5 linked regions of the Coturnix japonica genome follow. Each later gene encodes a partner of the first gene's protein in a complex. Links are inferred from orthologs where the notes say so. Each region holds a gene or a part of one and is shown in the gene's direction. Other genes may lie near its edges. The genes, in order: CNOT11, CNOT7, CNOT8, CNOT2 and CNOT10.

Region 1 (4,140 bases):
ACTCTAACAACCCTCTGCTAACTCATATCCCTGAGCACCACATCCAAATGGCTCTTAAACACAACCAGGGATGGCGATTCAACCACCTCCCTGGGGAAAATAATAATAATGACTTGACATGGGCTGACACTTGAAAACTGCCTTAAAATACCCAAGTGTCACTACAGTTCACAGAAGCTCAAGAATTTATCACCAACCATGTTTGTTTCTGAATGACCATGGAACAGCACATATGAAGCCATTGTAAAATCGTATCTGGGGTGTTTTTACAAAATACATCCAAGAATCGCTTGACATCTTTGAGGTCTGATGAACAAGTGAAGCTCAGGAAGGCTTTTAGGCATTGTTAGCACGCCAATATTGTTGATTACTCCAGGAGTAATAAATCTGTTTCTGTTGTCTCATGGTAGGTTTTGAACTGAAGAGCTGAACTAGGAAAGATAACATGCAATGGTCACTAGAAAGCTGCATATGGAGAGGCTCACACGAAACCTAACTTCCCCAACCCTTTTAGATTTGTTGCTATTAAAAATACACTGTAGATGGGCAGGGTCACTTAAATTACTAAGGGAAGGAATCTGTGTACAAGAGAAAAGCCTTGTGAGAATAAACAAAACAATCTGGATGTGTTCTGATTTCCCCTTTGACTTCAAGGTGTGACTTAATTCCTTCCCATCGTGTTCTTCCCATGTGAAATGTGGGATAAAAATACACCAGTGGAAGTTATTTCCTAGCTGAAGGATTCAGCTTCTTCGCTAGAAGAAACTCAAACACTTGCTGTGAAGCAGGTCAATTTAATATCACTTCTTTGCCACCTTTTTCTTTCACCTCCCTCCTGCTGCCTATTTCTGTTGCTACCTGAGCAGAAGCACCACAGATCTACTTGAGAGTGGATGAGCACCCAGACAACTTGCACACACCAGAAGCACAAAATCCGCTGCTCAGTTTCAGGTCACAGAATCTCAGAATTGTAGGGGTTGGAAGGGACCACTAGAGGTCATGGAGTCCAACCCCCCTGCCAAAGCAGGCTCCCTACACCACGTCACACAGGTAGGCGTCCAGGCGGGTCTTGAATATCTCCAGAGAAGGAGACTCCACCACCTCCCTGGGCAGCCTGTTCCAGTGCTCCATCACCCTCACTGTAAAGAAGTTCGAACTTCCTATGCTGTACTTTCATCCCATTACCCCTAGTCCTATCAGATGACAGCACCACAGGGCGGTGTGCGTGGAACGCGCTGCGCTCCCCCTACTGGCCCCAACGCCCGTCGCGCTCCGTCCCCGCCCCGCCCCGCCAGTCCCGGCCCAATGTCCCGGCCCATCCCCTGCCGTGCCGTAAAGCGCGTCCGGCGCCTCAACGCTCGGCCTTCCGGTGTTGTGCAGCGGCGGGGCCGTGCGCCGTGAGGCGGATGCCCGGGGGCGGGGGCAGCCCGGCCGAGGCGGGCGGTGAGGCGGGAGGAGCGGGTGGCGGCGGTGGAGCGGCGGGCGGCAGGATGAGCCTGTCGCCGAAGGAGCTGACGAGCCTGCTGGGCATCGTGTCGGAGGAGGCGGGCGGCAGCACCTTCGAGGGCCTCTCCAGCGCCTTCCACCACTACTTCGGCAAGGCCGAGCATTTCCGCCTGGGCTCCGTGCTGGTGCTGCTGCTGCAGCAGCCCGACCTGCTGCCCAGCCCCGCGCAGCGCCTCACCGCCCTGTACCTGCTATGGGAGATGTACCGCACCGAGCCCCTCGCCGCAAACCCCTTCGCCGCTGTCTTCGCCCACCTGCTCAACCCCGCTCCCGAACGCGGCGGCGACGAGGCGGAGCGCACCCCGCTCTCAGGTGCCGGGAACGGCCGGGGCTGTGACAGCGGGAAGGGTCACTCGTTTTGCCGTAACGTTACTGTACGAGATGATCTCTCCACGCTTAAGGAGCACGCGGGGTAGTGATGGCCTCAGGAATCTTACCGCTCCCCTCTCTCCCCGCAGGCTTCTTGCCGCCCATAACCCCGCCCGAGAAGTTCTTCCTCTCGCAGCTGATGCTGGCCCCCCCCAGGGAGCTGTTCAAGAAGACCCCGCGCCAGATCGCTGCCATGGACGTTGGCAACATGGCCCAGTCGGTGGATATAAGCGGGCTACAGCTGGCATTGGCGGGTAAGGAGGAGATGTGGCTGTGCTGTGATAGGAGAGTGGTTAGGCCCTGGAACAGGCTGCCCAGGGAGGTTGTGGATGCCCCGTCCTTGGAGGTGTTCAAGACCAGGTTGGACGGGGCCCTGGGCAACCTGATCTAGTAAATGTGTATGTTTGGTGGCCCTGCCAGGCAGGGGGGTTGGAACTACATGATCCTTGAGGTCCCTTCCAACCCGGGTCATTCTGTGATTCTGTGAAATGTTAATTGCTGTTTGACTTTGAGGTGCTTCTGTCTGTGTGGCAAAAGTTGGACTGTGGTCAGGTTTTGCAGTGTTAGCTCACACTAAATGTTCTGCCTTTACTAGGCTATAAGGAACTCAGTGCTTATTCTTGGGCAGGAATAGGATTGTTCTGATCGTGTGGAGCAACAAGTTGCATCTAGAGCTGATCTGAAATGGAAAATATTGCTTAGAATGAGTTGCCAACTCGAGCAGTTTATTTCCTAGGTACTCTATTCTGCACAATACAGTACTTGGCTTCTAAACTTCAGTTCAGTTGGTGACGTACTGTAACAGGTTGCCCAAGGAGGCTGTGGATGCCCCATCCCTGCAGGCATTGAAGGCCAGGCTGGATGTGGCTCTGGGCAGCCTGGTCTGGTGGTTGGTGACCCTGCACATAGCAGGGGGTTGAAACCAGATGATCACTGTGGTCCTTTGCAACCCAGGCCTTTCTATGATTCTATGATTCACTGTGGTAACTTTTCTTGTAGGCTCTTCTATTGAATGTCAGTTGCTGGAATAGAGCGTCTTGATTCTCCAGATCAAGAGAGCCTGATAAAACATAAGTGATTGCATTCGTAGGAATTGTTTTCTTCAATTTGAACATACTGGTTCAAGTTGCTGTGTTCTCTTCTGAAATACAACCGTGTTCTAGCTAACAGCGCTCACCCCTTCCTTCTGCTTACACTGGGCTGCCCAGGGATGTGGTGGGGTCACCATCCCTGGAGATGTTCGGGAACATGTAAGAATGTATCTTAAACTTTTGTTCTAATTAAGCATCATTAGTCATTTGAGATGAGGGGATTTGAGGGTATACAACCAATCCATGACTTTATACCTATATAGGTGTAAGTTTTAGACTACGGATGACAATGAAGGACACCCAGTATGTCACCTTGTTTTCTTCTCAGAGAACTTCTTACGTTGACTCAGCTGATCCCTGTAGGAGCTGAATGGTAGAACTCACAAGCTGGAATTTCCAACAGCGTATAAAGTTTGAGCATATATTCCAGTGTTTTGCATGGGCTGACATAATTGGAAGATGGACATTTCTAGTATAAACTAGCAGTAGGCAGAGCTTTGTGTCTGTGTCCTTTTGTTACCTACAGGAGTTTTGCTGTAAGCGTCTCTCATGGATCTGAAATAGAGTTTCATACGGATGAGGAGCTGCAAAGGGTTATATGGCTGCACAAAAAAGTGTGCTTTGTTAAAAGAGATAAGGATGGGGTACTGAAGCTGAGGGCACTACACTTAATTAATCATCCGGATAAGAAATGGTGTTGATTTCGTGTGGGACCAGCAAATTTGGCCTTCAGATTACTTGAGACTTTATCTGCTACTTAATATCCTCCTTGGGAGGGGGAGGGAAGGAACATAAGATGGCATTGTATGGCAGGCTCTTGGCTTTCCTGCATGTTGTTGGGCTTTTGTTGGTTTGCTTTTACCAAGGTAATAGAAAACATGGTTCTCACTAATACAGAGAATATGGAAGGTCAGCCCTTAAGCCTTCAGGTATGGAAGAGCGAGAGACTGTGACAGAAGAACACCTAAAATTTGACAGTGCAAATATTGATTGGTTGTAATAGTTTATTTTACCACTCTTTCACGTCTTCAGCTTCATATGCTAAATTTAGTATTACTTCTATGTACCTTGTTTATGCTCTGTAATTTGGGCTTTAGAGGGATGCTCTTACAGGACTTTATAGCTGTAACTGTAGAATCCTGTATCAATTAAACTCCTATGCAAAAGCAGCTTA
Region 2 (3,546 bases), on another chromosome or scaffold:
TGAAACTGTTGATGTTGTTGAGCTGGTCATGGGTTACGTAGAGGATGTTGCTTATGATGTGGTCCACCTGTGATCTTCACAGGTGCTGTTAACTGCAATCTTTTGTATTTGAACCAAAATCTAAAGCAAATAAAGGAAGGTATTTGATTATACCTAAGGTGCAAGGTGCTGACTTTCAAAACCCATGATCGCCATGTAACAAATTGCATGTTATTATTAAAGAGTTTGTTGTCTCAGAGAAAAGAAATGTAGCTTTTAGTACAAATCATTTGTTTAAATAAGCCAACAAAGATTGATTGTTTTTTCAGGGTTTCTTTTAAAATACAACATTTTGAAGTAAGAACATCCTAGTCAAGAGCAGCAAATATACTTAGAGTGCACTTCTAAAGCCTTTTCAGTTGAGTTCAATGTTTAGCAATGTACGCTGGAGTGAAAAACGTTGTTTCACAATGTTTTTAAACGTACAAAATAGTGCTGATAAGTGTTAATAATTGCTTTTGGAACTTCAACTTGCTGGTTCGAGTCCCAGCCAAAAAATTTGGATCTTTTTCTTCCCATCAGAGATGTGTTAATATTGATGCTGGAACAGCAAGCTGTGGTTTAGAGGTTTTCCTCTCTGCTTATTATTCCTGCAGTACAGAACCTGAAAGGTTCTATTGATAATTAAGACTTTTAAAGTCTTATGTAAATGTAGTCTTGGTTAAAAAAAAAAAAAAGCAGTTTCCTTTAATGTTGCTGCTCATTGTTAAATGAAGCCCTCTTAGAGGATGTAGCTGAGAAATGCAGGAAGATACATTTGCCGAACTCAGTAGTTTCTGTGCTTGAGCACGTACCTCCTCATTCTCACCTCACACCCACGTAGTATAAATCTGTTTTAAGACAAGGTGTGATGGAACCCCCACAACAATAAGCAGGTAAACTGTGGGCACTTGCAATGAATACCAAACATACATCTGCTGTGAGAAAGCAGAAAGAAATATGCCAGAGAAAATATTTTGTTGTGCTTTCAGAAAAGCAAGTAATAACGGAGGTAATACCAAACTGCCAAAACATGGTCGTTTTGGCAGGTGAGGTGCACAGGTGACTGTTTGTATTCCTTCCTTTAAACAATTGCACTGTATAGCACATTTTGATCATGTGTTGAGATTAAATGCATTGTTATGCTAATTCTGTCATTTGAATCTTGGGATGTGATATGCAGTGCTAAAACCAACAGTGTAATGTCTTTTAGCCTTTCTGTCATTCTGTTTAAACTGGGTGTTTTTGGTGGCATTAATTTGTGTCTTTTTCTTTTTAACACTTCAGATGTTCTTTGAAGATCACATTGACGATGCCAAATATTGTGGCCACTTGTATGGCCTTGGTTCGGGGTCATCTTATGTACAAAATGGCACGGGAAATGCTTATGAAGAAGAAGCCAACAAGCAGTCATGACACGAAATGAAAGGCCGTCTTTTTGAGCTCCACATGCTTGTACATACGTTTTATCTCTGGTTGAACCCCTTGGACAATAAGGCTTTTTTTCTCCCTTTCTCAGCACACTTTCTTTTCTGCCTTTCTATGTATTAAACCTGACTGTTCCTATCACAGATTTTGATCTTGATATTGATATGTAGAATTTTATGGGTTACTTTTGGAGTCATAACTAGCCCATTTGTAAAGAAGCTTGTGTAGGATCAGTGTGGCAGAGAGAAGGGGAAAGCTAAATCATTATGAATAGTATGGTAAACTTGCCTATATCGGTCTTTGGTCTTAGGTTTTTTGTCTCTTTCCCCTCCCTTCTCCAAATTAACTCATGCTGATTGTAACTAACTTCCCCGTTCATGTCTGTTCCTTCCAGTATGCAGGCGTTTTAGCTATTCAAGATTGTGGACCATCAAATTTGCACTTTAGAGAGCAACTCTGACTCAATCCTCTGTTTCATTTGAAGTTTTTTTTTTCCCTTCTGCCCTTAGCTAGGAAACAATAATCCTCCAAGTTCAGCAGCTTCACACTGTATTTTTGGCATCTTTTGGTATTTCAACCCATAGAACATGACATTTGCTGTATAACCTGCATTCGTTCAAGCAAAACAAACTACTGAAACCATAGTAACTGCTGTTGTTTTACTAGTGTTCTGCCATCAAACACGTCCTGCACATGCCAACTGCTGGTTGGCTGGCTGCTTTAGATCCGCTCTGTGAGGAGGGAAAGAAGCTTGAGAAGACAGCTTTAAACCCTTCAGGAAAAGAACAGCTGTGACTTTACCACCTTTGCCATTAAGCTGAGATTTGAAGGCTATTGGAATAGTAGGAATTTTGTAATGGCGCACTTCCCTTGATTAACTTTTATTCTAGTGACACATATACAACAAATATTTTTTTATGAAGTCGTATTTATTATGTAGGTGATTTGACAACTTTTGGAAGTCAGTTCAGTTCAAGATAAAACCCAAAGATCTGAAAAAAAACACAAAACAACCCTATTTAACTGAATTAGGACAACTAAATTGTGCTTTTTTGTAGTTGCTACAAAGACAGATGTTACAGATATTTGTTGTAAAACAACAAAATATAAATAACTTAGAACAAATAAAGTTACTTGAGGATTGTAATGCTAGTTTATTTTTGAGTATATCGTAGCAATATATTTTAGATATATTGTTTTAAAGGACCCTAAAATACGTTCTTATCTCTGCTTACCATGTGTACAGAGCAGTTGTGCAGGAGGCATTTTTGGTATTGAATAGCTAAATCCGAGCCTGAAATGATGGAAAGTGCGACATTGTGTGCCTGGGTGTGCGTGCGCGCGTAGCGGTGTGCGTGTTCCACTCGGAAATCAATCATAGAAAAACTCCAGATGTTCGCCAATTCTTCTGTTTACCTTGTACTGCAAAGACGAATAACAGATGGCACCAAATACCTTTTTCATTGGGTTACAACGATGTAACTGGGTGGTCCTTTTTAAACAACAAATAATTTGCATAACAGAGGGTATTTGTTTTTAAAGCTTTTGTAAATAAAGGCCTAAAAAATGTTTTCTTACATAACAAGAGACTGGTGGTTTTGTTGAAGTTGTATTTTTCCTCCTGGAATGTATGTGTTACAGACAGTGTGTGATACAGACAGTAATACTGTACTGCTCTTTTGTTTGGACATGATGATTCTCTTCCTCTGTTTGGGAAGTGATGCAGTTTGCTGCTTGCTGATTGATGCCTCATCCAGAGCTGACTTCTGTTTGCACTGACTCCCACTGACCTGCATGGCTAGAGTGGTAACTACAGCTTAGTTCTGAAGCGACCAAACTCCACTGGTGATTTCTGTTGGTATCATTATGCATTAGGTAAGGGAGTGTTATCTTATTTTTAACTTTGTTTGTCTTTGGCTTTAACAAGAAGATGGGCACTGTCTGACAGAAGGACACAATGCATTCTTACAGTGGTATCAAATTCTGCCTTTTAGTATTTAGGTTTGACTAAAAATTATGTATATGCGCAGAATGAAGAACCCCTGAAATCAATACATTTGTTTTCAGCTTTAATAGCTGATAGAGGCAAATATAATGAAA
Region 3 (3,987 bases), on another chromosome or scaffold:
GATGCTGTGTCTGGTGGCTCCCCTATTGTGCCAAGCCCTGCATAGCTCAGAAGGCAATTACAGCTCCTGGAAAAGCTTACAGTTGTATTTTAAACATACACAGGACATTGCCCTTTAGTTATTTCTAAGGTTTCAATCGGGTATTTTTAAGCCACGATACCTTTGAGCTCCGTCTCTTTGCTCACCTCCTGCTGGCTGTAGCCCAGTAGAGGTCCTTTGTACACAGTACAACTCCTCACCTTTCACTACTGCTGGGGAGACTTTATGAGGGTTTAACAGCGGGGTGTTTCCAAGCAGGAGTTGGCTGTCCCCTCCCAGACAAGTCATGTGAAGCCAGCACCGTGTCACTGTTAGTGCTGGCACTGCTCCCTGTTGCCACTCAGCCCAGTGCTCAGAATACATCTCTGTAGGTAGGAGTTTGTCATCAGGGTTGAATGGCTGTATATGTGAATAAAAAAGGCAGCTATACCTTAACGATAAGTCATTTCTACCAGAAACTAACTAGTGTTTTCAGCACAAAGCAGCTGATGCCAATGCAACCGAATGGCTCAAAGGCGCATTTGTGCAATGCGTGTGAGTTACGGGGCAGTCTGTAAAGCCAGCAGCACATCTCACTACATATATAACCTGCACCAGCTGTCCCTGCATCAAAGCTCCGTCTATAGGTCCTGTCTATGGGATGAGATGCAAACAGGTTCCGATGTGGTTGTGCTCAGTGGTGTTTCAATGCACTTATAGACCACAACGCCTGTAATTACAGCACTGCGAGGTGTAACTTGATGCAGATATGGCCCCAATCTGCACCACTTACCCCATATACAGGTTGCCCAGTTATTTGGGTTATTTGCATGTTATTTAGGCTCGCTCTGGTGACATAATTCATCTAATATGCTAAAGCAGGCGATAAGAGTGAACTGTGCAATGTCAGCGTTCATTTTAACCCCCGTTCAGTTCAGATATAGCTTCTATCTGAGGGATTTACAGCCTTTAAGATTAAAGGATGCCTTGCTTTGCTTTATACACCGGGTCACAGCGCAGCGCCACGTCACGGCCGGACACACAAGGACACCAGCACTGCGCATGCGCAGCTTTCCCCGTTCCCCCTCCGCGGGAGCGCGCACCAAGCGCGCGCCACCACACACCGCACCGCGCGCCGCTGAGGCTGTACCGGAAATCTCGCGAGAACAAAGCTCCAAACCCGGAAATCCCACCTCAGCCTGAGGCGTCATCGCGCATGCGCTGAAGAGAGAGAGAGAGGCACGGCCACAACTTCCGGGTAGGGCAGGTAGCGCCTGGGGGAGGGGAAGGAGATGGGGAGCGGAGCAGCGGGAGAGCGGGGCGGGACGGGACGGGAAAGGGAGGCACGGAGGGTCCCAGCGGGTCCCGGTAGGTCCCGGTAGGTGCGGGGCCTCTCGCGGTGCGGTGGAGGGCGGCGGTGGCGGCCGTGTCCGGGTGGGCCCCTGCCCTGAGGCGGCGCGGGTCGTGTAGGCCTCAACCGGGCCTGGGGCGGCGCTGGGCCGTTGTTTGTTGGCGGCTGCCTCGGGGAGGCCGATGGTGGTGATGATGTGCCGTATTGTGCCGTACTGTGCCATATTGTGCCGTACTGTGCCGTATTGTGCCGTGTTGTGCTGTACTGTGCCATATTGTGCCGTACTGTGCTATATTGTGCTATATTGTGCCGTATTGTGCTATATTGTGCCGTACTGTGCCATATTGTGCCGTACTGTGCCATATTGTGCCGTACTGTGCCATATTGTGCCGTACTGTGCCATATTGTGCCGTACTGTGCCATATTGTGCCGTGTTGTGCCGTATTGTGCCGTACTGTGCCGTACTGTGCTGTGCTGTGCCGTACTGTGCTGTATTGTGCTGTATTGTGCAGCTCGTTCCTTTTTTCTAGCTCTTTTTTCACTCATAGCTCCGTTCTGTCTGTTTCTTGCAGCACACTGATTAGATCTCGCAGCTTTCGGTTGTAACGCGGCCATCTGAAGGATTGGGGGGAGCTGGCTGTGCCCTGTGCCCGGCAGGATGCCAGCAGCCCTGGCGGAGAACAGCCAGGTGATCTGTGAGGTGTGGGCCAACAACCTGGAGGAGGAGATGAGGAAAATCCGAGAGATTGTGCTGAGTTACAGCTACATCGCAATGGTAAATGCTTGACTCATTTGTCTTATTCAAGGAATAGGGGCTAACGATAGTTGGACCCAGAGATCTTTTCCAGAGTCGATGATTCTGTGGTGGTTATGACAGCTTTGAGTGGGGATGCTAAACTCAAAGATAGGAGAGAAATTTGTAATGAAAGCATGATGTAAAAATACACGTGCCTTCAGAGCGCATAGAATTCAGCGCAGAACAAAGTTGTGTAAGTAAACAGTAAATGTGTATCTACATATTTCATATTGTATGTTGATTGGAAACGAGCTGCCTTGCTTCAATATCATCTCATTCTGGCCTGTTGTAATTGCTGTGCTGAGGCAGTGGGTACAGGAAGATGTGAAGGCAAAAATTCTCTCATGTGCTGGATCCTCTATGAAAGTTTTTGTGTGTTCTGAGTCAATTGATGTCATTTGACTTGAGAGCACAAATTGCTTGCTTTGTCGTTAGGGTCTGCCTTGATTTGCAGCCATAAGGTTTCCTCTTCCTTTTCTAGGACACGGAGTTTCCTGGGGTTGTTGTAAGGCCGATTGGGGAATTCCGCAGTTCCATAGACTATCAGTATCAGCTTCTTCGCTGTAATGTGGACCTTCTGAAAATCATCCAACTGGGCCTGACTTTCACAAACGAGAAAGGAGAGTATCCTTCTGGGATCAACACCTGGCAGTTTAACTTCAAATTCAACCTCACGTGAGTCTTCTGCATTAGGGAGCAACACCAGAAGAGATTATGTGAGGCTCAATGCCGGCATGACAGGCATTGCAGTATTTCTGGAATGATGTTATGATCTCAAACTTTACGTGCTTTTTATACATTTCCATATATTTTATGTAATCAATTAAATGCATGTATACTTACTATATACTTACTATAAGCTGATCATGCAGTTCTTGCAAACAGAAGTGGCAGTGTTTACTTGCACAACTGTCAGCCTCCTAAAAGCATTGGAGTCATAACAAAGAGGTTTTGACACTGAACGCTATTTGACTCAAAGTTATCATGTTTGGTTTGAGTTTTATTGACACTGTGACTCAAAGTTATCGTGTTTGATATGAGTTTTGTTGACTTCTCTCCCATCATCTGTGGCACTTCTGTTCCCTCAGTGTTACTTTTCAAGATGTCTGTTGTGTGAAGGTTTTATGGCATTCTTCAGGTTTGGCAATAGCGACAGAATTAATATTTGGTTAAGATTGCAGAATAGCTTGTTAAATGCATAGGAGTAATGGTATTAAAAGTGATTTGAGCTTCCTAGAGACACAGCCATGGAGCTCAGAGATGGATTGCCTGCAGGTCACTCTGATTTTCCAAAATGCAACTTGTGAGAAATCTTTTGGCAATGAGCCTTCCTTGTTAGCACCCTGACTGCAAAGCTCTGCTTTTCTCCTTCAGGGAGGATATGTACTCTCAGGATTCCATAGACCTCCTTGCAAGCTCTGGGCTGCAGTTCCAGAAGCATGAAGAAGAAGGGATTGATACCCTGCATTTTGCTGAGTTGCTCATGACTTCAGGGGTCGTCCTTAGTGACAGCGTGAAATGGCTGTCGTTTCACAGGTAGGTCTGAGGTGATTACTGGTACTACAGAACAAGATGCCTCTTTTTGGCTTAAATAGTGCTGCTTTGGACCATAGAGACTAACAGACCTTAAGGAGATGGATTTTAGCAGCTGTGCAGTTCTTAATATAAGTTTTAAATTGTAAAGGCGAACTTTAAGTACTGGTACTTCATTTTATCTCAGCACCTTCTGTGATCTGTATTTTGTGCGTGTTTTGCTGTTATCTTCCTCTATGGAAAAGAAGGTTGTAAGTATAGAAAAACACCCTAATGAGACGAATGTAAC
Region 4 (3,515 bases), about 88 Mb from region 1:
AACAAAACTAATTTGTTCTTCTTGCCCAGGTCGGGTTACCAACATTCCTCAAGGGATGGTGACGGACCAGTTTGGAATGATTGGCTTGTTAACATTCATCAGGGCAGCAGAGACAGATCCAGGAATGGTACATCTTGCATTAGGAAGTGATTTAACAACACTAGGTCTCAATCTCAACTCTCCTGAGTAAGTTTCTGTCTTTTAGTACTGTCTTCAGTTTGGTTCTTATTATGCTGTCGTTGGTAATAATAGATTAACTTAGTTGACATAAGCATCAAACCCACAAGACATTTTGCCAAATAAAATTTGAAAACATAATGACAGTAAAACAAAACTTTCATAAACAAGGTAATTGTGCTTCAAGGGATACTGAGATTTGTTTTGCAAGCTTTCAGTAAGTCTCGTGGCTTTGCTTATTCTCCTACCTTCTTAGGACATTATTTAAGGAATTGACAGTGTGTTGTTAGTAGGCCTCAAATACGCATTATTTTTCTAATAATAGTATTCCTTGAAGGTAATTACGTATAGATATCACAGAAATCTGGGGGATAGGTACTAGTGCATTTACAGAGTTTACTCTGCAACAAAGTTGAAAATACAGTGTTCGAGTTAACGTCCATTCGTTTCACCTCAGTTTAGTCATCTAGGCTTCCTTTAGTGGCAGTGGATGGAAGAGTAAATAACAAGTTCTCAATGGTAAGAGAAGTTCTTAAGAATAGTAAGGTGAATCACCAGCCCAGAAAGCATCTTTTTCTGTACTTGTTACAGAAGGAATCTAGATTTTTCCCCAGTTTGGGGAGAAATGCCTATCTTCATGACTACAGCTGTCTGAGATAAGTTCAATTTCTGGTACTTCGGCAGCTAGGAATGTCCCATCGTGACTCTTCAATCATGAAGAATTTTATACCCTTCTCATTGAGGGAGGCACTGAGGGGGAACAACAGGCCTGTAGTTTATTTTAATCTGTAAAATACAGTTGATAGGAAGCATGCGTTGTCCTTATCCTTTGATACAATCTTACCATGTCCTGAATTTTTGCCTTATGTTATGTAAATGACTCTTCATCTTTCAGCAAAGAAAAACACAGAGGTTGACCTCAGTCACTTGCCTTACTTCTGTGGCACTTTGTATGTGGGGAAAAAATGAGATAAAGAGTTCTGATGCTTTTTATCAGAAGAGATTTATGTAATATTAACCTTACTGGCAGTTTTGTGCATGCATTTAAAATCGTTCATACAAAACATTAGCCAAACAAAGACCAAACAGTATATATGCTGACTTGCTGTTTGTCATAAATTTTATACAGAGCTGCACTCTGAATGTGTGAGTGCAGAGAAGATTTCTGAATGGGAGTATCAAGGTGAGAGGGAAATGGCAGGAAAAAGTAGCTCTTGATTTTTGCATCTTGAAATGATTGGTATTAATGTACGTATTTATTTCTCGAGGCATAACTTTATAGAAATAATCATTTCTAGAAAATATTTCTCTAATGTTTGCATCAAAACATAGTCAGGTTGTCGCATCATCAATGCTTTTAGAAATATTTCAAAACCACCCCCCAGACTCATCCTTCTGGTACAATTGCGTGTAGTTATTTGCTGAATGTGTTACTTGAGCACAGTATTTTCTTTGCTTGTGTTAGGCACACAGCTCCCTTCCTTATTGAATCTAGCAGTTCTTCACTCCCATCTCCTTCTCCCTCAGCATGCTGAGAATACATAAAGAACAGTTAAACCTATCACAGTTTGCTGCTTTTTCTCAGTAGTTTTAGATTTTTTAGCATTCACTGGGATATCTGCCTGATACTAAAGTTATTTACTTTTCTCAGTACAAATTGCTCAAAAGTAATTGGAGGATAATCAGCTTGAAAATAGAATGCCCTTGTACTCTAAATTATGTTATGAACATCTGAATCTTAATTCTTGAGCTTCCTCTGTTACTGTTCCTCAACACAGGTGAAATCTGGTTACATCATTTAGTTAAACAGCTGGCATGCAGACGTAGTAGGATAATACTTCTGGTAATTTCATTATTTGATGTTTTATACAACATTATGCGTTAGTTTTGATGCCTAAAATAAAACTTAACCTTTACCCACCTATTGAATAGTCTATAGGGAATTTGGAGCTAGGTGATCTTAAAGCCCCTTCCAACCATTCCATGATTTTCTGCTTTGGGATGACCTATAGCTGTACTATACAGCTCCCGAGTGTAACGTCCAGGTTAATACTGTGCATGCATACATAAACAATATATACATGTGACATACTGCTGCTTTTTTTCAGCAGATGTATGTTAAAGAGCAGGATTTTTAAAAACTTTTAACACATAATTACTGTATACTAGATATTTATGTGTTGGATGGAGGGGATAGGTTTAGTATTTAATCTATTCTGTGTCATAAAGTTGGTTTTATTTTATACTACAGAGCAGTTTAGCATAAAGCCTGTGCCACCCTTAATGTCTTGCCTTATGTTAAGCATCCTTTGCTTGATTTACAAATTGCCATTAGAAAAAAAAAAAAACAACAAAAAAACATTTTGCACTTGGGAAGCAGATTTCTTTTTCTGCCTTTTGAGGTGCTTCTGATATTAAAGTCGCTTATCCCATTTAAACACACAATAAATGTGCTTTTAAAAACACAATTTTAGAGTTCTGCCTATATCTTTATTTGAAGTAAACCTAATAACTCCTAGTTTTGTACTTCTTTTCTGCATAGATAGGTTAACACTTATTCTTAAATAATGATTATGTATTGCCTATACAGTCCCATATTTTCTTAAGACAGATGCTTTTCATGGAATCACAGAATGGCCTGAGTTGAAAAGGACCACAATAATAATCAAGTTTCAACCCCCCTACTATATGCAGGGTTGCCAACCACCAGACAAAGCTGCCCAGAGCCAAATTCAGCCTGGCCTTGAATGCCTCCAGGGATGGGGCATCCACAACCAATACCTCCTTGAAAAATGTTAAATTAGTAGCATTTTATTCATGTCATAAAGGAGACACTGTGGAAACCCCTGTTATTATTGCATTTAAGTGATGCAGTTGGAATCCTCTGTTCTTCACCTTAGGGCAGAAGGTCGCTAGGGCATGCATGATGTGGTGGAGTTGCAGGAAGCTCCTCTCCTTGGGCAATGACTGTCCAGGCTTTCAGTAGAAAGAATGTTTTAGTTATTTCCATCATCAGCAGATATTGCTACTGAAATCTTCCTGCAGGCTCTCTAGCACAGACTTTCGCTGTTACACTAAGATTAGTAACCTCGAGTGAGGCTGACACCATTTTGGCTGTGTAGGCTCTGTGGCTCAGCTGGAAGTTAGTTTTGTTGGGATAGCTGTGTAGGATTCAGATGCTTAGTAGCAACTATTAAGTCGTTGTCAAGAAGGGAACAAGGGTTGAAGAGGGTGTACCCTAATACAAGTAACATTTCCACAAAGTTCTGCATAGCGTCTTGACCTGGGTAATTGGAAGCGCACTGTAGTGCAGCTACCTGTGAAAGTGTTCTTCAGCC
Region 5 (3,515 bases), on another chromosome or scaffold:
TGGTTTGTGTTGTCTGCATCGAAACAAAAAAAGCCAGGTGGTATATATCCACCACTGGGCCTAATTAGCTATTTAAAGTTATTTCAGATTAGTGATGTTTCTAACTGGTTTTGAGGTGCCATTTTTATGCCTTCCTGGTAAGTGGTGAAGGACTGGGTGATCTCTACTTTGCCTCTGCCCTGCGAAATGAGCTCAGCCAAATGTATCATTCAGGTTCTGTAAACTTGCAGCAAGTGTGGGCTGACAAATCTTGTTGCTTAGACCTACACAAGAGGTTGTTTGACATAATCTGGCGGTTTAAAAAAACATTTTTCTTTTTCCTAGTGCAAAGGCGGTTTTATTTCGGGAATGCAGGGGCTCAGTAATGCTGGAAGTCTCCAGAGCTTAAAGACGACCTGCAGAGTTTTGTCAGAATCCTGACTGGGGTGAAAAACTAGTTTGTCTTTTCCCTTGTGGTGCAATTCTTCTGCTCTGATTAGCTGTCAGGTCTCCTGAGTGTTCCGTTCGCTTTGGCTGCTTCAACAATGAGTCCAAGTGCGCGAGGACGGCATTGGAAGGAATGTTCAATGTTTTCCTCTTCTTTAGATGGCTTTTGCTGAAGAGGTCTTAAAGGGATTAGATGGGAACGAGTCCTTAGAACAGAGGGATAGGTTTCCAACTTGATGGGCTTATTGTTGTATGGCTGGAGCGTGCCTTTTGTTCGCATATAGACTTTCAAAATTAAAAATGGTTTTAAAGTTCTGGTGGGTAGAAGACCTGTATTGACTGAAAGGGCAGGAGCAGCAGTGCAAGGTGTTTGGCTGGTGGGACAGCATCTCTGCTTGTTTAAAAGTCTTGCTTCCTTGGGGCAGAGAAGAAAGAGTCTGCTTAGAGGCAGGCCATTATTTTGGGATTTCCCCCCCCCTTCCCCACAGTCACAACCTTTCAGAAATATTTTAGGTTTGGGACTTGAGTTGGGGAAGCTTTCCTCTCTTTCTTGAAAGCTTTTGTATGTGTTCAGATTTGATGTGACATCTGGGCACGCTAAGAGGAAGTGGGGGGTAGGGAGAAACACTGGAGAAGTTTCTCCCCCTGCTTGTGCATAATTAAGGAGCATGCCTCCTGGGAACGGGGAATAAAGGCACCCCAGGCCCTGCCACGAATTACATGACTTACTGCGGGACTCAAAGTGGGCTTGACAGTTGCCAGAAGGGCAGTGGGTAGCAGCCTCCTCCAGGCAGCAAGGCCGGCTGCCCTGGGTTGGGAGCGGGGCAGGAGGACTGGGAGCAAAATGGGGGCCCAGCAGAGAGAGGCCCATGCCCCAGGATGGGCTGACCCCACCAAGCGGTGCTGTGGCAGAGCCTGAGGAGCGGGGCCAGCCAGTACAACAGGAAGCTTGGCAGAACGGAGGCATCCCGATGTGGGACTGTTGTGTGAAGGTGGAGAATGGAAGTCATTTTTGTCACACAGACTGTTGTGTTTTGTGTGCTTTAAAAACAGGGAAGCCTGTTGCAGCCGTAGAATGCCACATCTGAAATCAGACTCCTGGCAGAGGAGGATTACAGCTCTGTGTAACACGGAACTGACAGTGCAGGATCCTCTGCTGTTTTATTGTCTCGCTGTGTACAGACGTTGTAAAATACAAGAACGAAATATGTTACAATTTAATTGACAGCTACAATATGTCTGTAGTTCCAGGTGATTTATAGCATTGTGTGCTACAGAAAACTGCTCTCCTTTTCTGAAGGAGGAGGGAGGGCAGAGAAGTGCAAGTGAAGATTCAAGGTTTAACAAATAAAATGAGGGTGGGAAAGTTCCTGAGACAAACAGTGCTTTGGTGAGGTCCCTCTGTTATGGAGAACAGTGTTCTGAGAAGTGTAGTGAAGCTGTGAGGGGTCTGGAGCACAAGTCTTATGGGGAGCGGCTGAGGGAGCTGGGGCTGTTCAGTCTGGAGAAGAGGAGGCTCAGGGGAGACCTGATGGCTCTCTACAGCTGCCTGAAAGGAGGCTGTGGTAAAACACAATGTGTGCATCTCCTGATTGAGAGAACACGATTGAGGCCATAGATGAACACCAGCTCCTTGACTTCCCTCTTTGCTGTGAGGATGATATTGAAGGCTGAGGATTTATTTCTTCAGCACTTAAAAACTGTCTTTCATTTTAATAAGCTGAGGTCTTTGTATTTTGTGCTAGTGAATAATTTGTTCCTTCAGGTACTACTTTTAGAATAAAACGTACTAAATCTAACAAAATCTTTTTTGTGTTTTTTTGCTGCTAAATTACAGAGAATTATCTGTTATTATTAGCTATTATCTAGAGATTATATTGTTCTTAGTTTTTCTAGGTACATATAGGACTTCGGTAATTACAAATATTTGCCCTTGAATGTACAATAACTTCAACTGAGAGATAAATATTTAATGTAGTGGTGTTGTATGGTTTTTAAAATGAATATGTAGGTATACATTTATATATGAGCATTCATTTGACATCTTCATATATGAGGCAAATAGTTTTTTATTGCTTTTATTACGTGTAAATGAAGTCTGAACTGTTGCTGTGTGAAAGTAAATCTCCAGAATTACTAAGAATGTAGTGATGAGCAGCATGCTCTTTGCTCCTGCTTCCAGTTCTTTTTGTACTCTGTGTAAGTAGTCTTCATCTGGATTTGCTGCACATCTATTAAGGAAGAAATTTCACAGCTGCATTTGAAATCACAGAATATTAACACATTGTTTTCCCCCTTTTCCCTTTTCCCTTTTCTCCTCCAGGTGCTCAATACTTGCCTGCAGTGCTTACGTGGCTCTGGCTCTGGGCGATAACCTTATGGCACTGAACCATGCAGATAAGCTCCTTCAGCAACCAAAGCTGTCCGGGTCTCTGAAGTAAGTTTGATGTCATTGTTCCTTTCTCTTTTCTGTTGGAGAGCCGTGAGCTGAAGCTTCTTGTGTCTGTAGTAACGATATTATTATGATGGTAGTAATTGTATTTGGCAAAACTGGCAACGTACGTGTGGAGAGCAATCTAACTCGTGCCAATTTTAACTGCTGGAGGCAGCATACTCTAGAAGGTTCTGTGTCAATTAATTTCTATGTCTCCCTTCAAACTATGGTAGAAGCTCATCCTTTAGCGAGGATTAAAGCTGGACTTCAGAGGAGTTTATAAGGTAATGTGTAGTTCAATGAAGGCAGTGTTCTTTTAATGCAAGAAATTCAAGTCAAGAGTTGTTTGCAAAGACAGAGCCCTGTATCTTGGTGCCAAGAAGCAAAGCCTCTGTGCAGGCTGGAGCACTGAGTTGTTCCTCTTAAGTGATGCATAGGTTAGTTACATGTAAGAAGTTTCTCTTGTTTTAACAGATCTCACTTGCACAAGTTCTTTTGAGTGATGCTTTTTAATAACTCATTACAGTTAATTTGAAATGTATGTTATACAATCACATGCTCAACTTTTGTTTCAGATTAAAGCTTAGTTAAACTAACAGTGCTCTCAGTCAACAGGGCTCCAAAGCTTCTGAGTAGCTGAGCTACTGCTGTGTAG

Evidence for each region.
Region 2: CNOT11 (region 1) and CNOT7 share a complex: the UniProt entries of both Homo sapiens proteins name them as parts of the CCR4-NOT complex. The link is inferred for Coturnix japonica from reciprocal best matches to the Homo sapiens genes CNOT11 and CNOT7.
Region 3: CNOT11 (region 1) and CNOT8 share a complex: the UniProt entries of both Homo sapiens proteins name them as parts of the CCR4-NOT complex. The link is inferred for Coturnix japonica from reciprocal best matches to the Homo sapiens genes CNOT11 and CNOT8.
Region 4: CNOT11 (region 1) and CNOT2 share a complex: the UniProt entries of both Homo sapiens proteins name them as parts of the CCR4-NOT complex. The link is inferred for Coturnix japonica from reciprocal best matches to the Homo sapiens genes CNOT11 and CNOT2.
Region 5: CNOT11 (region 1) and CNOT10 share a complex: the UniProt entries of both Homo sapiens proteins name them as parts of the CCR4-NOT complex. The link is inferred for Coturnix japonica from reciprocal best matches to the Homo sapiens genes CNOT11 and CNOT10.

What each region holds. Positions count from the first base shown.
Region 1 is NC_029516.1:120,253,662-120,257,801, forward strand, and holds the start of CNOT11 (CCR4-NOT transcription complex subunit 11), read left to right. Parts: upstream 1-1,334; 5' UTR 1,335-1,406; coding exon 1,407-1,818; intron 1,819-1,964; coding exon 1,965-2,129; intron 2,130-4,140. UniProt on the Homo sapiens protein: Component of the CCR4-NOT complex which is one of the major cellular mRNA deadenylases and is linked to various cellular processes including bulk mRNA degradation, miRNA-mediated repression, translational repression during translational initiation and general transcription regulation.
Region 2 is NC_029519.1:56,951,584-56,955,129, forward strand, and holds the end of CNOT7 (CCR4-NOT transcription complex subunit 7), read left to right. Parts: intron 1-1,305; coding exon 1,306-1,434; 3' UTR 1,435-3,031; downstream 3,032-3,546. UniProt on the Homo sapiens protein: Has 3'-5' poly(A) exoribonuclease activity for synthetic poly(A) RNA substrate. Its function seems to be partially redundant with that of CNOT8.
Region 3 is NC_029528.1:5,997,960-6,001,946, forward strand, and holds the start of CNOT8 (CCR4-NOT transcription complex subunit 8), read left to right. Parts: upstream 1-1,184; 5' UTR 1,185-1,276; exon of another isoform or gene 1,277-1,565; intron 1,566-1,941; 5' UTR 1,942-2,027; coding exon 2,028-2,144; intron 2,145-2,646; coding exon 2,647-2,840; intron 2,841-3,539; coding exon 3,540-3,701; intron 3,702-3,987. Other genes in the region: FAXDC2 (fatty acid hydroxylase domain-containing protein 2), read right to left, coding at 1-75, 161-402. UniProt on the Homo sapiens protein: Has 3'-5' poly(A) exoribonuclease activity for synthetic poly(A) RNA substrate. Its function seems to be partially redundant with that of CNOT7.
Region 4 is NC_029516.1:32,460,866-32,464,380, forward strand, and holds part of CNOT2 (CCR4-NOT transcription complex subunit 2), read left to right. Parts: intron 1-29; coding exon 30-186; intron 187-3,515. UniProt on the Homo sapiens protein: Component of the CCR4-NOT complex which is one of the major cellular mRNA deadenylases and is linked to various cellular processes including bulk mRNA degradation, miRNA-mediated repression, translational repression during translational initiation and general transcription regulation.
Region 5 is NC_029517.1:37,337,541-37,341,055, forward strand, and holds part of CNOT10 (CCR4-NOT transcription complex subunit 10), read left to right. Parts: intron 1-2,749; coding exon 2,750-2,863; intron 2,864-3,515. UniProt on the Homo sapiens protein: Component of the CCR4-NOT complex which is one of the major cellular mRNA deadenylases and is linked to various cellular processes including bulk mRNA degradation, miRNA-mediated repression, translational repression during translational initiation and general transcription regulation.